Neurospora crassa OR74A: one gene and its partners. The protein of the gene in region 3 interacts with the protein of the main gene of each other region in a biochemical or structural test. Links are inferred from orthologs where the notes say so. Each region holds a gene or a part of one and is shown on either strand. Other genes may lie near its edges.

Evidence for each region.
Region 1: the proteins of NCU04327 (region 3) and NCU01370 form a complex in vitro, tested with the Saccharomyces cerevisiae proteins (2 studies listed by BioGRID). The link is inferred for Neurospora crassa OR74A from reciprocal best matches to the Saccharomyces cerevisiae genes MCM2 and ORC2.
Region 2: the proteins of NCU04327 (region 3) and NCU04378 form a complex in vitro, tested with the Saccharomyces cerevisiae proteins (7 studies listed by BioGRID). The link is inferred for Neurospora crassa OR74A from reciprocal best matches to the Saccharomyces cerevisiae genes MCM2 and CDC45.

Annotation. Positions count from the first base shown.
Region 1 is NC_026505.1:3,801,814-3,805,563, forward strand, and holds the start of NCU01370 (hypothetical protein), read right to left. Parts: upstream 2,212-3,750; 5' UTR 2,085-2,211; coding exon 388-2,084; intron 304-387; coding exon 189-303; 3' UTR 1-188. Other genes in the region: NCU01371 (UPF0660 protein, variant), read left to right, coding at 2,483-2,716, 2,773-3,111, 3,178-3,261. UniProt on the Saccharomyces cerevisiae protein: Component of the origin recognition complex (ORC) that binds origins of replication. It has a role in both chromosomal replication and mating type transcriptional silencing. Binds to the ARS consensus sequence (ACS) of origins of replication.
Region 2 is NC_026504.1:3,568,309-3,572,058, reverse strand, and holds the start of NCU04378 (DNA replication initiation factor Cdc45), read left to right. Parts: upstream 1-1,226; 5' UTR 1,227-1,584; coding exon 1,585-2,352; intron 2,353-2,404; coding exon 2,405-3,750. UniProt on the Saccharomyces cerevisiae protein: Required for initiation of chromosomal DNA replication. Acts at the origin of replication. Also has a role in minichromosome maintenance.
Region 3 is NC_026505.1:5,630,985-5,634,734, forward strand, and holds the start of NCU04327 (DNA replication licensing factor mcm2), read right to left. Parts: upstream 2,728-3,750; 5' UTR 2,576-2,727; coding exon 2,571-2,575; intron 2,488-2,570; coding exon 117-2,487; intron 1-116. Other genes in the region: NCU04328 (metaphase-anaphase transition protein), read left to right, coding at 3,391-3,524, 3,579-3,633, 3,693-3,750. UniProt on the Saccharomyces cerevisiae protein: Acts as a component of the MCM2-7 complex (MCM complex) which is the putative replicative helicase essential for 'once per cell cycle' DNA replication initiation and elongation in eukaryotic cells.

The DNA of each region.
Region 1 (3,750 bases), about 1.8 Mb from region 3:
GATGTTCTGCGGTGAGCTTTCCAGGATTTTGGATATGTTAAGACTATGATATGATGTGTAGGCTTCCATTCCAACACATGTGGTGGGTGTTGCCGTGTGTATGATAACTTCCAGGTCAAATCTGTGTGTGTCCCATTCATCTCGATTCAAAACTTAGCATTGTCATGATACATCGTCGTCAATCATCACTACGACATCAACTCCTCCAGGATAGACTCCAGCTCCTCTTTCCTAAAAGGTAAGCTCAAGTATTCCGTCCCTATCGAGTCCTTGTGACTCGTAATGATTTGATGATCGTGGAATCTGTTTCCGTTCTGTTAGCCGTTGTCCCTTTAAAACCAAGAAAATCATCTCCACAGCCAAGTCACAACAGAGGGAAGAACATACTCCTTTAGCAGCGTCCTAAACGCCATTTCCGAACTGCAAATAAACTCCTCCACAGCCTTGTTGTAAAGCATCCTATACTCTACCCCCGGCCCTTCTCCTCCCGCTGCAAAGTCTCCTGCCCCTGATGTACCACCACCACCACCACCACCGTCCTCAAAAGCCACCAAAACCTCCCCCACAATCAGCCCAAACAATTTCCTCGCGTTCTCGGGTAAACTCCGCAACACAAACGCCACTCCTTCCTTGCCACCCGCTCTCTTGCCCATCCTACCCAGTAACTCGTGTACTTCGTCTACTACGTCCAACTCTTTGCTGTGGTCTGCAAAAGTGGTGCAGTCGTGAAATGCAAAGTTGAACGAGGAGCGTAAGCTAGAGTCCCAGAGCAGAGGGAAGTCGGGCGTGTCGACTGTGCAAGCGAGAGAGATGGCTGGGTGTGAGGAGAGATGGGCGAGGAGGGATTGCGTTTGGGGTTTGCGGAGGGGGGAGAAGGGGGAGTCGAGGGAGGCTAGGAGGAGGGTGATTCTTGGCTTTTGAGCAAAAGAGGAGAGGAGGGTGAAGAGGTTTTGGATCATGGCGAGCGGGTTTCCGGAGGGTAGGCGGAAGGTGGGGTCGATGGCGGCCGAGATGGTGGTGAGGATCTCGCGGAAGGTGAGGGTGCGGGTGTGCCCGTTGATCATGATGATTGTTGTGTTGTTTGTGTCATTACCGCCGGAGGAGGAGAAGAGGTACTCGGCGAATTGGTGCAAAAGTCGACGCTTGGAGCCGTAGCCGTAGAGGCAGACGCTGAAGCCTTGGGAGAGCTCAAAGGCCCATTGGGGGAAGGAGGCGGCGTGTTGCGACTGGAGGGCATCGATATGTTTTTCGTGGGGGTCCTGACCCAGGTTGCGGAGAAGCGAGAAGTATTCTTCGTGGATGAGGAGGTCGAGCGAGGAGAGCGTGTTGTTCGAGGTTTTGTTGGATCCCGGCTTGTTCTGGTAAAAGTATTGTTCATGGGGAGGGAGGTCTCGGGGTGGTGTGGGCGATTTCTTTCGTCGTGCTAAACCGGGGGGTCTGCCTCCTCGTCCTCTCCCCCTCCCTGTCTTGGATGGAGTGGTTGCTGCTAACTCGGCCTCTTGGTCGGCGAGGTTTTCTTGTTGGGTGTCCCCTTCCTCTTCTTCCTCGCTTGACTCGTAGATCTCTCGTGCGATTTGTTGCTCTTCGTCCTCGTCATCGCTTACGGCGCCCTCCAGCACACGGTCGATGAGAGCCCTGGCACTCTTCCGTCTAGCCGATCGGTCGGCAATTCCTCGCCTGCCGGGTGTGTCGACGCCACTGATTCCTTTGAGCTTGATCGGTGTCTCGTCGACTTGTTTCTTGCGCAGGGCGGATGGTGTGCTCGGCTTGCCACTTGGTGTTCCTCCCGTCTTGGCCTTCGGTGGTCGCCCTATCCTTTTCTTGCTGGGTGTCTGCTCGGTAGGTGACTCGGGTTCTTCTGGCACAGAGGCTAGGTCGCGCTGGAGGAAATCGACCTGTTTCCGCGGGGTGGCGTTTCGCTTTGAAGGTGTTCCTCCATCTTCTGGTTGTCGCCGTTGACGCTTTGCGGAGGGAACCGCATCATCCTCATCTGGAACTTCGTAGGGGTCGGCAGGGAGTGGCCGCTTTCGAGAGGGGCGTTCGACTAGATCGTGCTGATCTGTTGATTTCCGACGAGGAGGCATACCGTTTGTGTTATTGGCTTTGGTTTATGTTGTCCAAGTTGTATGGCATGCCTTGGAGTCCCGCTGTACCTTTACCCTACCTCTGCAATTCGAAGTCTACGGGAAACTTTTGTAAAGTCAAGACGCGCTCGCTTAATTGAGACGCGTTAAGCTGTACATACGCCCGGGATGACGCTACCTACCTCTAGATGGGAAGACAGCAGGTACCTGCTAGAGAGTACCTGCGGGTAGCAGGGTTCGCTGCCTACTAACGGGGGCAAGCCAAGCCCCTGTCTACCACCACATACGCTACCTCTAGGTACTTCGCGGGAGGGTTATAGGTGGGAGAGTTCATAGGCTTTCTTGCAACCTCATGTCATCTCAACCAAACAAACTCCAAGAGGACTATCGCGACCAATATGTCAAAGCTCAATCTCAATTTGTCTGCCTCATTGAACATTTTCAAGCTTATCGCCAAGCCTTCACTATGTCTGCCCCACGCTACAGTTCCAACGTTCAACGACCTGCCCATCCCTCTTAACAAAGCCTTCTCCGGCAATGGCGAGAAGAAGGTTGACATAAAGGCTGTCGTGCTCGACAAAGATGACTGCTTTGCCTATCCTGATCACAATGAAGTGTATGAGGCTTACAAGGTGGGTTGTCTCTCGTCCCAATTCCATTCAGGAACGCTTTGACTGATTAAGCCAAGGAACGCATGGAGGCTCTACGAGCAGCATACCCAGGACGCCGTCTTCTGATCGTTTCCAACACTGCTGGTGCCCTAAGCTGGGACAAGGACGGCCAGATGGCATCCGCAGTTGAAAAGGCCACCGGCATCACTGTTCTCCCCCATGGTGTGAAAAAGCCAGGCTGTGGAGACGAGATCATGTCCTACTTCCGTGCCCACCCGGAAACCGGTGTCACCAGTCCTCACCAGATCGCCGTCGTGGGAGACCGACTGGCCACTGACATGATGCTTGCCAACATGATGGGCAGCTATGGTATTTGGATCAAGGATGGAGTTGTTCCCCACCAGCAGAAGAGCATCGTAAGTGAAACCCTGCAACCAAGCTGCGTGATAAGCCAAAGTCTTTTGCTGACTGGGATATGATAGTGGTCGAGAGTTGAGAGGACTGTTGCGCCCTTCCTTGTATCCCGTGGTTATACCGCTCCTGAGCCAGTGAGCCCCTTTGAGTAACTGCATTTTGTGCTTCTCCAGGGAAAGAAGACAGCGTGTAGTAATGTATGTTTTCTGCATATCCCCAGTAGCTGAGGTGGGTTCTTCTTTTCTTTCGCATCTGTGCCCCATTCTCTTTAATTGTTCCGACGTCGTTGTTCTCCTCTACGTTGTGGTTGTGCCCTTTCCCGATGTCTTGCTCGTTGTGTCCATTGCCTACGAAACATGTTTCTTGTCTCGCTTAATAGTGGTTTCTGGCGCGAGGGAAACAGGCGTGCTTCAGATTTTCCTCTCAGCTGCCGGGCCTGTCTTTCCGTCTGTCTGCGCGATTATCAGAGTTCTCGAGCAACGTTAAGGATACCGTTGTGATTATAAGCGACAGTGTCGTGTGGCTGAGCCGACTGGTCGCTGGTTTGATATCAGTCCCGTTGAATAGCGGCAGAGAACGCTACCAACGGATATGTTAGCAAAGACACAGTAGTTGGACACATCGAGCAGACCTCTTGGAAA
Region 2 (3,750 bases), on a different chromosome or scaffold from region 3:
CCGCCGTCGTGGCTGGCTTGGCAGGCCGGCTGGCTACTGTAGTAGCACGGATGGAGTGAAATTGAGACTGTCGCCGACGAGACGGGGCGTGGTGTGGGTGTCGTGGTGGATGGCCAGTGTTGTGAGTGGTGTCTGGTGTGCGGCAGTTGTTGTGTTGTGATCCAAGCAATGATGGAAATGTGGATTGACAAAAGAGGGACCAAACTAAACAGAGGAAGAGAAGCGAAGATGGAAGCTGGATTATAGGTCGAATCGGAAATCCGGAGACGCTGATCCGGAATCCAGGATTGGAAAGCACATCGTTAGATGGTCCCTTCCTGTGCTAGGTATTGTACTTCAATCCGCACTCTGCAATTTCGGAATAGTTCATCATCCCCGGTCCGTTCCTTCACCGCGGACCTTTCTGTGGGACATCGATGCCTGTCTGGACACCTACCTATGCTATGGTAGGAGATGGAGTGGAAAGAGCACAGCTGGTCACCCAGGTTGATAAATTAGTTCAGTTCCAGCTGTTGGGCAGCCCCACGGTGACAGTGTTCTCAGATGATTCCACGGCAACTAAAGAGTTCACTAAAATCCAGGGACATCGGCCGGCAGAAATTCTCGTGAAATTCCACGTTCGACCAGGTGGACAAGTTGCAGAAGTGGAAGCTTCTATCGCATTGCTGTCGTGCAGGAACCTTACTGGCCGTTGTTCCGTTGTCCTCTGGGCAGGCATTTGCCGGGCTATGATGTACCTACCTGGTTTACCTTATTACCTACCTACTTACTGTACCAATGCCCGTGCTTCGGTCGAGGGATGGCCGCCCCGGGGTGCCCCTGTGGCCTTGGCTGTCAGCAGCTGCCCTGGGCAATTCCACTTCGCGTTGTACCCCGCCATTTCTTGATATACTACTGTACGCAGTAGGTAGGTAGGTACTTTACCCAGCTCTACAATAGGTACCTCCCGTCTTGCCTGCCCAAAACCCAAAGCCCCACTACAAGTACGTAGAGGTACCTCTAGGTACAAGCAAACTGGTCGCTCCGGCCGCGTCCTTTCACTGCACGCTTTGTGCTGACGCCCCCCCTGCAGTCCACTGCAGTGGTTGATATCTAAGTAATGCACGCTGTGCCCGCCCTGGCACAAAACCACTTTCACAGAGTCGCGTCTCGAAGCGCGTCCGAAGCGCAGCGCTGGTTGGCCGCCCTTCCATGTCAATTAAAGGATCCTGGCCAACATCAACAAAGGAACACTCCTATCAACACCATCATCCCTCGCCCGAATTATTGTCGACCGCGACAACACTATCCGACTGACGTGCATCGCCATCACACCAGTATTTTTTTGCCATCGTATATTTCAAGCTACATAGTCCAGAGCAGAAAGCTCTTAACGCGGGGCAGGCCGCGTCGCGCATCCCCCGTCGGTTTTTTTTCTGCCCAGTGAACAGAGTTCGAAGTTAGTTACCTCGAGTAAACTACAACTGAAGTGTTCCACGCCGGCGAATATCCCACGACGACGTCGCCTCGCCGCCCCGCCTCGACAATCCGTCCCCAGCCGATTTCCCTCGCTGATCCACCCTCGATACCGATTCTCCCTTCGCAATGTATCTCCCTCGACAGCTTATATCAAAACTCTACCTCCACTTGCAAAATACCCGCCATCCACTATCGCCGCCCGTCCTCATCTTGGTCGCTCTCGAAACCGATGCGCTATGTGCCTGCCGTATCCTAACCCAACTTCTCAAACATGACTATATTCCGCACAAGATCCAGCCAGTCGCTGGCTACTCCGACCTCGAACGTGCCGGCACTGAGCTCGTCAGCCCCATGATGGAGACCCGTGGTGGTGCTGGAGGAGTCGTCGTATGCTTGGGAGTGGGTGGTATGGTTGACCTCGGCACAGTTTTGGGACTTGAGCCCGAGGGCGAAGAAAATACCTTTGGGGGTGTAGAGGTGTGGGTGATCGACTCCCATCGCCCGTGGAACTTGGGCAACGTTTTCGGCGGCTTTCCCCTCGAACCAGAGACGCAAGAGGCCAGGACATTCTCTGCGCGAACCCCCATTGGTGTCAATGGCGGCCGGATAGAGCGAGCATACAAACCAGGCAAAGGCGGCATCATTGTCATGGATGACGGCGACATTGAAGATGAGCTCTCCAAGGAACGAGATGCGTATCTGGCGCTAGTGGATATGCCCGAAATCGAAGATGATGGCCGAGACTTGGGCGACAGTGATGAAGACGAAAGCGAGAACGAGGAAGACACGGGCGATACATCGGTTGTTGCAGGCAGAAAGAGGAAATCATGGTCGGACTTCGACGAGGACGATGATGAAGACGACCGACCCAGACAGCGACGAAGAAGCAATTCGGTGAGTACATTCCGATTTCTTCATAGTAATACATCTCTCATGCCAGATACAGTCGAGTCCAATTCCAGATTCGCCTCGACGACCGCAACACCGTGGTCTCATATCTCTACGCGACGATGCCCTATTTTCCAGTGACGCGCTGGAAGCTCCGCCTGCTGCACAACCACCCAGAGGCCCTTCAGCCAACACCCTCCGACGGAGATTGCTACGACTACGACGAGAAAACGAGGGAGTTTTGCGCGAGTACTACCGACTGGGTACATCATATTCGGAGCCCATCTCGTCCATGATGTACTCCCTTGCGTCAGAACTGGGTCGTGAAGACAACGACCTGCTATGGTTAGCGATCGTTGGGGTCACGTCGATGGAGCTGTACGGCCGCTCATCTGCCGGTATTGCGGTAGCAGCTCGCAGGTCAGACGCCCGCATTTCCGGTTGGCTCGGCATGCGTGGTGCGAGAATACGGCAGCTTCTGCGAGACGAGGTCAGACGTCTCAACCCACCAGAGATAGGAAACGGCCGGGTGCTCCCCGAGACGACAGGAATTATCCCAACAACCGCTCGAAGTCCGGAGGATACCAGTATCAGGTTGTCGCCGGAGCCCAAGTTCCTGCTTATTAGGCACTGGAGTTTATACGACAGCATGCTTCACTCACCCTACCTCTTCTCTCGGCTAAAGACGTGGAGCGAGGCTGGCATGAAGCGATTACACAAGCTTCTCGCCAAGATGGGTGTCAGTCTGGTGCAGTGCAAGCAGAGTTATGCCCACATGGACATGATGTTGAAGCGCGAACTTCGCACCAAACTACTAAAATACGCGTCTCTCTACAACCTCGACGAACTTGTCCCGACCATAGACACGGACGGGAAAGATCGTGGAGGTGCCAAAGATGGATGGGGCTTTGTACGCAGTTGGGGTTGGAGGGCAACCCTGAGTGCGCAAGATGTCGGTGTCGTAGTCGGAGCCCTGTTGGAAGTGGGGAAGAACACCACTAGTGCTGATGACCTTCCTGCTGGCCCATCTCAGGATCTTCTCGACGTAGACAACAACCAGAGCCAAAGTGAGGAGTGGATCCCCAGGTTCTGGGAGGCGTATGATGCGCTGGAGGACATCGAGGCCCTTAAGGCTGGCCTTCCCACGGCGCAGTATCTACACAAGGCCATCTTCACCACTGGCACGACAATTTTGAAGAAGAAACAAATATCTCATCTGCGCGCATTTCGCATGTGCGTGGTCAAGGACTCACCAGATGCGACACTCTTCAACCACCCCGGCGCTTTGACCAAGCTAGCGCTCTGGATCGGTGAAGCACTCGCGGAACAGGAAAAAGAAGCCACTGGCGGGAGGCTCGCCCATGGCGGTCGTGGCACACCTCTCGTAGTGGCTAGTCTAGATGA
Region 3 (3,750 bases):
AGTTGTTATTGTGTTGTATTTTGTGACGGAGGAAGAAAGAAAAAAAAAAAAAAAAAAAAAAAAAAAAAAAAAAAAAAAAAAAAAAAAAAGGAAAAAGGAAAGAGGGAAGAACTTACAGTAATAGGATAAGCCCCCGTCGCCAAACTCTCCCTTCTCATATCCGCAAACAGCCTCGCCACCTTATCCTCATCCATGTGATACAACTTTGGCTGGCACCGCTCTCGGGCATAAAGGATATACTTCCTCAACAGCTCTTGTGGGATTTCGCCCTCTTTTTTACGGCCGTGTTCACCAGTTTGTTGGGTTTCCGCAGCAGCTTGGGTATCGTGTTCAACCTCCATGGAGTCACCACCGCTAGCGTCCTGCGTGTTGTTGTTCATCAACGGATGACTCCTCGAATGCGACCCGACAATGAAGCGCGCCAGCCGCTCATCTTCTTCAGGCTCGACTGTGTCGCGCACGACGCAAAGGATGTCGAAACGAGACAGAATCGGCTCGGTAAGCTCCACGTTGGCAGAAAAGGGAATGGTAGAGTTGTACCGCCCGCCAATAGGGTTAGCAGCGGCGATGATTCCGCACCGGGCTTGCAGGGTCGTGACGATACCGGCTTTGGAGATAGAGATGGTCTGCTGCTCCATGGCTTCGTGGATGGACGTGCGGTCCTGGTCGTTCATCTTGTCGAACTCGTCGATCAGGCAGGTGCCCTTGTCGGCGAGGACGAGGGCGCCGCCCTCGAGAGTCCATTCGGACGTGAGCGGGTCGCGCCGGACGGAAGCCGTCAGACCGACGGCGGAAGCACCCTGGCCGGTGGCGAAGACGGCGCGGTGGGCCGTCTTTTCGGCGTACTTGAGTACTTGTGATTTGGCGGTACCGGGGTCGCCGAGGAGCAGCACGTTGATGTCACCGCGGATGTGGTGGGCGCCGACTTGCTTGGCGACGCCGCCGAAGAGGGAGAGGGCGACGGCGGTCTTGATGTCGGTGTGTCCGTAGATGGAAGGGGCGACGGAGTTGATGATCTTGTCGACAATGTGCGGGTCGCGCGAGAGACGGCGAATCTCGTGCTCGTCTTCCTCGGTCATGCGGAAGCCGGCGAGCTGGTCGTGGGATTTGACAATGTTGTTGGCTTCGAGGATGGTGGCGAAGACGGGGAAGCCGTTGCGGTTGTTGAGCTGCGCGTCGTAGTTGTTGCGGTAGATGCCCGTTACTTCGATCTCCTCGCCCGGCTTGGCCTTGTCGATCAGGTCCCAGAGGAGAATGACCTCGCGGTGACGGGGCAGACGACCGGCGGGAACGGTGCCGGGGGATTCTTGGAGGGTGAGCTTTTGGTAGTTGCGGTAGACGGTCTTCTCGGAGTTAAGGGTGAAGGGGCCACGAGACTGGCAGGACTGGCAGTAAGAGATCTTGACTTCGACGTTGGACTCTTGCTGGAAGGGACCGAGAGTGACGCCGCACTTGGTGCAGTCGAACTTGACATACTTGAGCTGGGGGAAGACACCGGTGCGGCGGGTGACGACACCGCTCACGCGCACAAGACAGTTGAGGTGCGACTGGCGGAGCTGACGGAGGGTATAATGGATAGGAAGGTCGAAGATACGGACGTGGATCTCGGCGTGAATGCGCTCGTAGTCGGGGTAATGGAGAAGGACGACTTCCATGGCAACCTCGTCGAAGAGCTTGAGCATCTCGGTTGGCGCATTGGCGAGGAAGTATGCGAGAATGGCCTTGGCTGTAGCGAGGTGCTCGTAGGAGACCTCGAGAGACTCGGCGTTGATCTCACCAAGAGTACGGATGCGGTTGCCGTAGACGGACGAACCGCTCTCGTCGGTGTATTCTGTGAGGAAAGCCTTGAACTCTCTGCGGATGGTCTTTTGTACAGCCGGGACTGAGATCCATTCGCTCAAAGTGGCAGCCTTGACATCCATCAGGGCCTCGAGGGGAAGTTCCGAGTCCATAATGTCGCCATCCATATCGACATCGGGGTCTTCATTGTAGCGGATTCTTCGGCGGCGTTCCAGGTTGGTAAGGTCGATATCACCATCGTCGTCATCACCAGGAAGATACGTGGTGCCCATTCCCATCCTCACTTGACGGTCTCTCTGGGCCAACTTGGCTTCAAGACGGCGCCTTGCGGCGGGGTCGAGGGCCTCATACTCGTCATCGTCGATGTCAATTCCTTCGTAGGCGTCGTTTTCGTCTCGTTCCCTATAATCGCGCTCGAAGCCTTCGCGGAACAAATCTACATCGTCTTCGGCCAACTCGTCGAGGTCGTCAATGTCGTCTTCGATTTCAGCGGCGACGTCTTCCTCGATGTCGTCGTCCTCATCTGCGCCATGGGCAACTGGGAAGGCGGGAGGAGAAGAGGGCATGACAGGGCTCGAAGCGCGGGGAAGCGAGGAAGCACCATCGTGATCGTTACGCGCACGCTTGCGAGTGGCCCTGGGAACGGCGCCACGGTTGGCAGAGGACGGGTTGTCGCGAAGCGGGGAACTGGTATTGGAGAGTTTCCGTTAATTCACTGTTTACTTGCGAAGAGAAGCCGTGACAGACGAAAGAGCAAGAGGCACACATACCTCATGATTGCGACTTGGCTGAGGGTATCTCAGAGGACTGTAGCCAGCTACAGATGGAAGAAACAAGAGAGTGGAGGATGCTGGCCTAGTTGTTACTATGGAGAATGAATGCCAGCCAGAAAGAGGATATGTTGCGGGGTGAGACAGAGAGAGAGAAGGGGGGGGGGGGGGGGAGGGGAATGGAGACAAACAGCGTCGAGGAACCACTGAATGAATGTTGCCCTTCGTTGCGGCGACCTTGTCCCTGCTTTTTTCTCGCGTTGCAGTCCAGGGAAGACGCGCCAGACGTGATGCGCTAAGCCGGATAAGGGCGGTCGCGTTAAGTGGTTGCTGAGGTTTAATGGGCTTGGCAATGCGTACCGGACCCACTTGGTGCTGCTCTTACACGCCAATTCGACTCGTCGAGATTCCCAAAAAGTCACAAAAGCTCAAAGTCCAGTGAACAATGACGAGCAAAGCATGAGCTATAAGGTGCTACATACTACAGGGCCATGTTATTGATCGGATCACGTTCAAATAGGTTTCCTTGAACCCAATTCCAATCTGTGCTGCTTGGACATATAGACCACAGTGCCTTACACCAAACCAAGGGTACATTGCAAGCTCGGTCCTTCTCCCCACGCTTCCACCAACGCGCCCTCCTCCTCCTCCTCCCCCTCCTCCTCCTCCTCTTCGCGCCCCAGCAATTGTTTTTTGTTTTAAAGACTTCCGGACAGAACCCATCTTTCGTGATCCAGCACCATCTCGAGGCATTTGTCTTATCAACAATTTTGATAGACCACCGACCATCCAAGATTGACCGTGAAAGCATCCATCACCCATGGACCCTCAACCGGCGCAACAGCCCGCCGAGGCCACTCCAGATGGCCATGGAGCTCCAGCACCAGTCGCGCTCACCAAGACTCGTACTGAAAGCTTCTCCGCCAAGTCAGAAAACTCTCAGACTGCCGCAGAGTATGTTGTCATATATTGGACTTACCACATGACAAAGTACTAACCATGGTCTAGCTTCATCCGCGACCAAATGCAACTAGAGGCCGACGCTCGCGAAGCTCTTCCATACGTGCGTGTCCCTTGTCTTCTCTGCCCTTTTCCTTAAAGTCAATCCTAACCTCCCACCAGAGCATCGAAACCTGCACCAAGCCCCTCGGCCCCCTCCGCCAGGCCGTCTTCTCCTGCC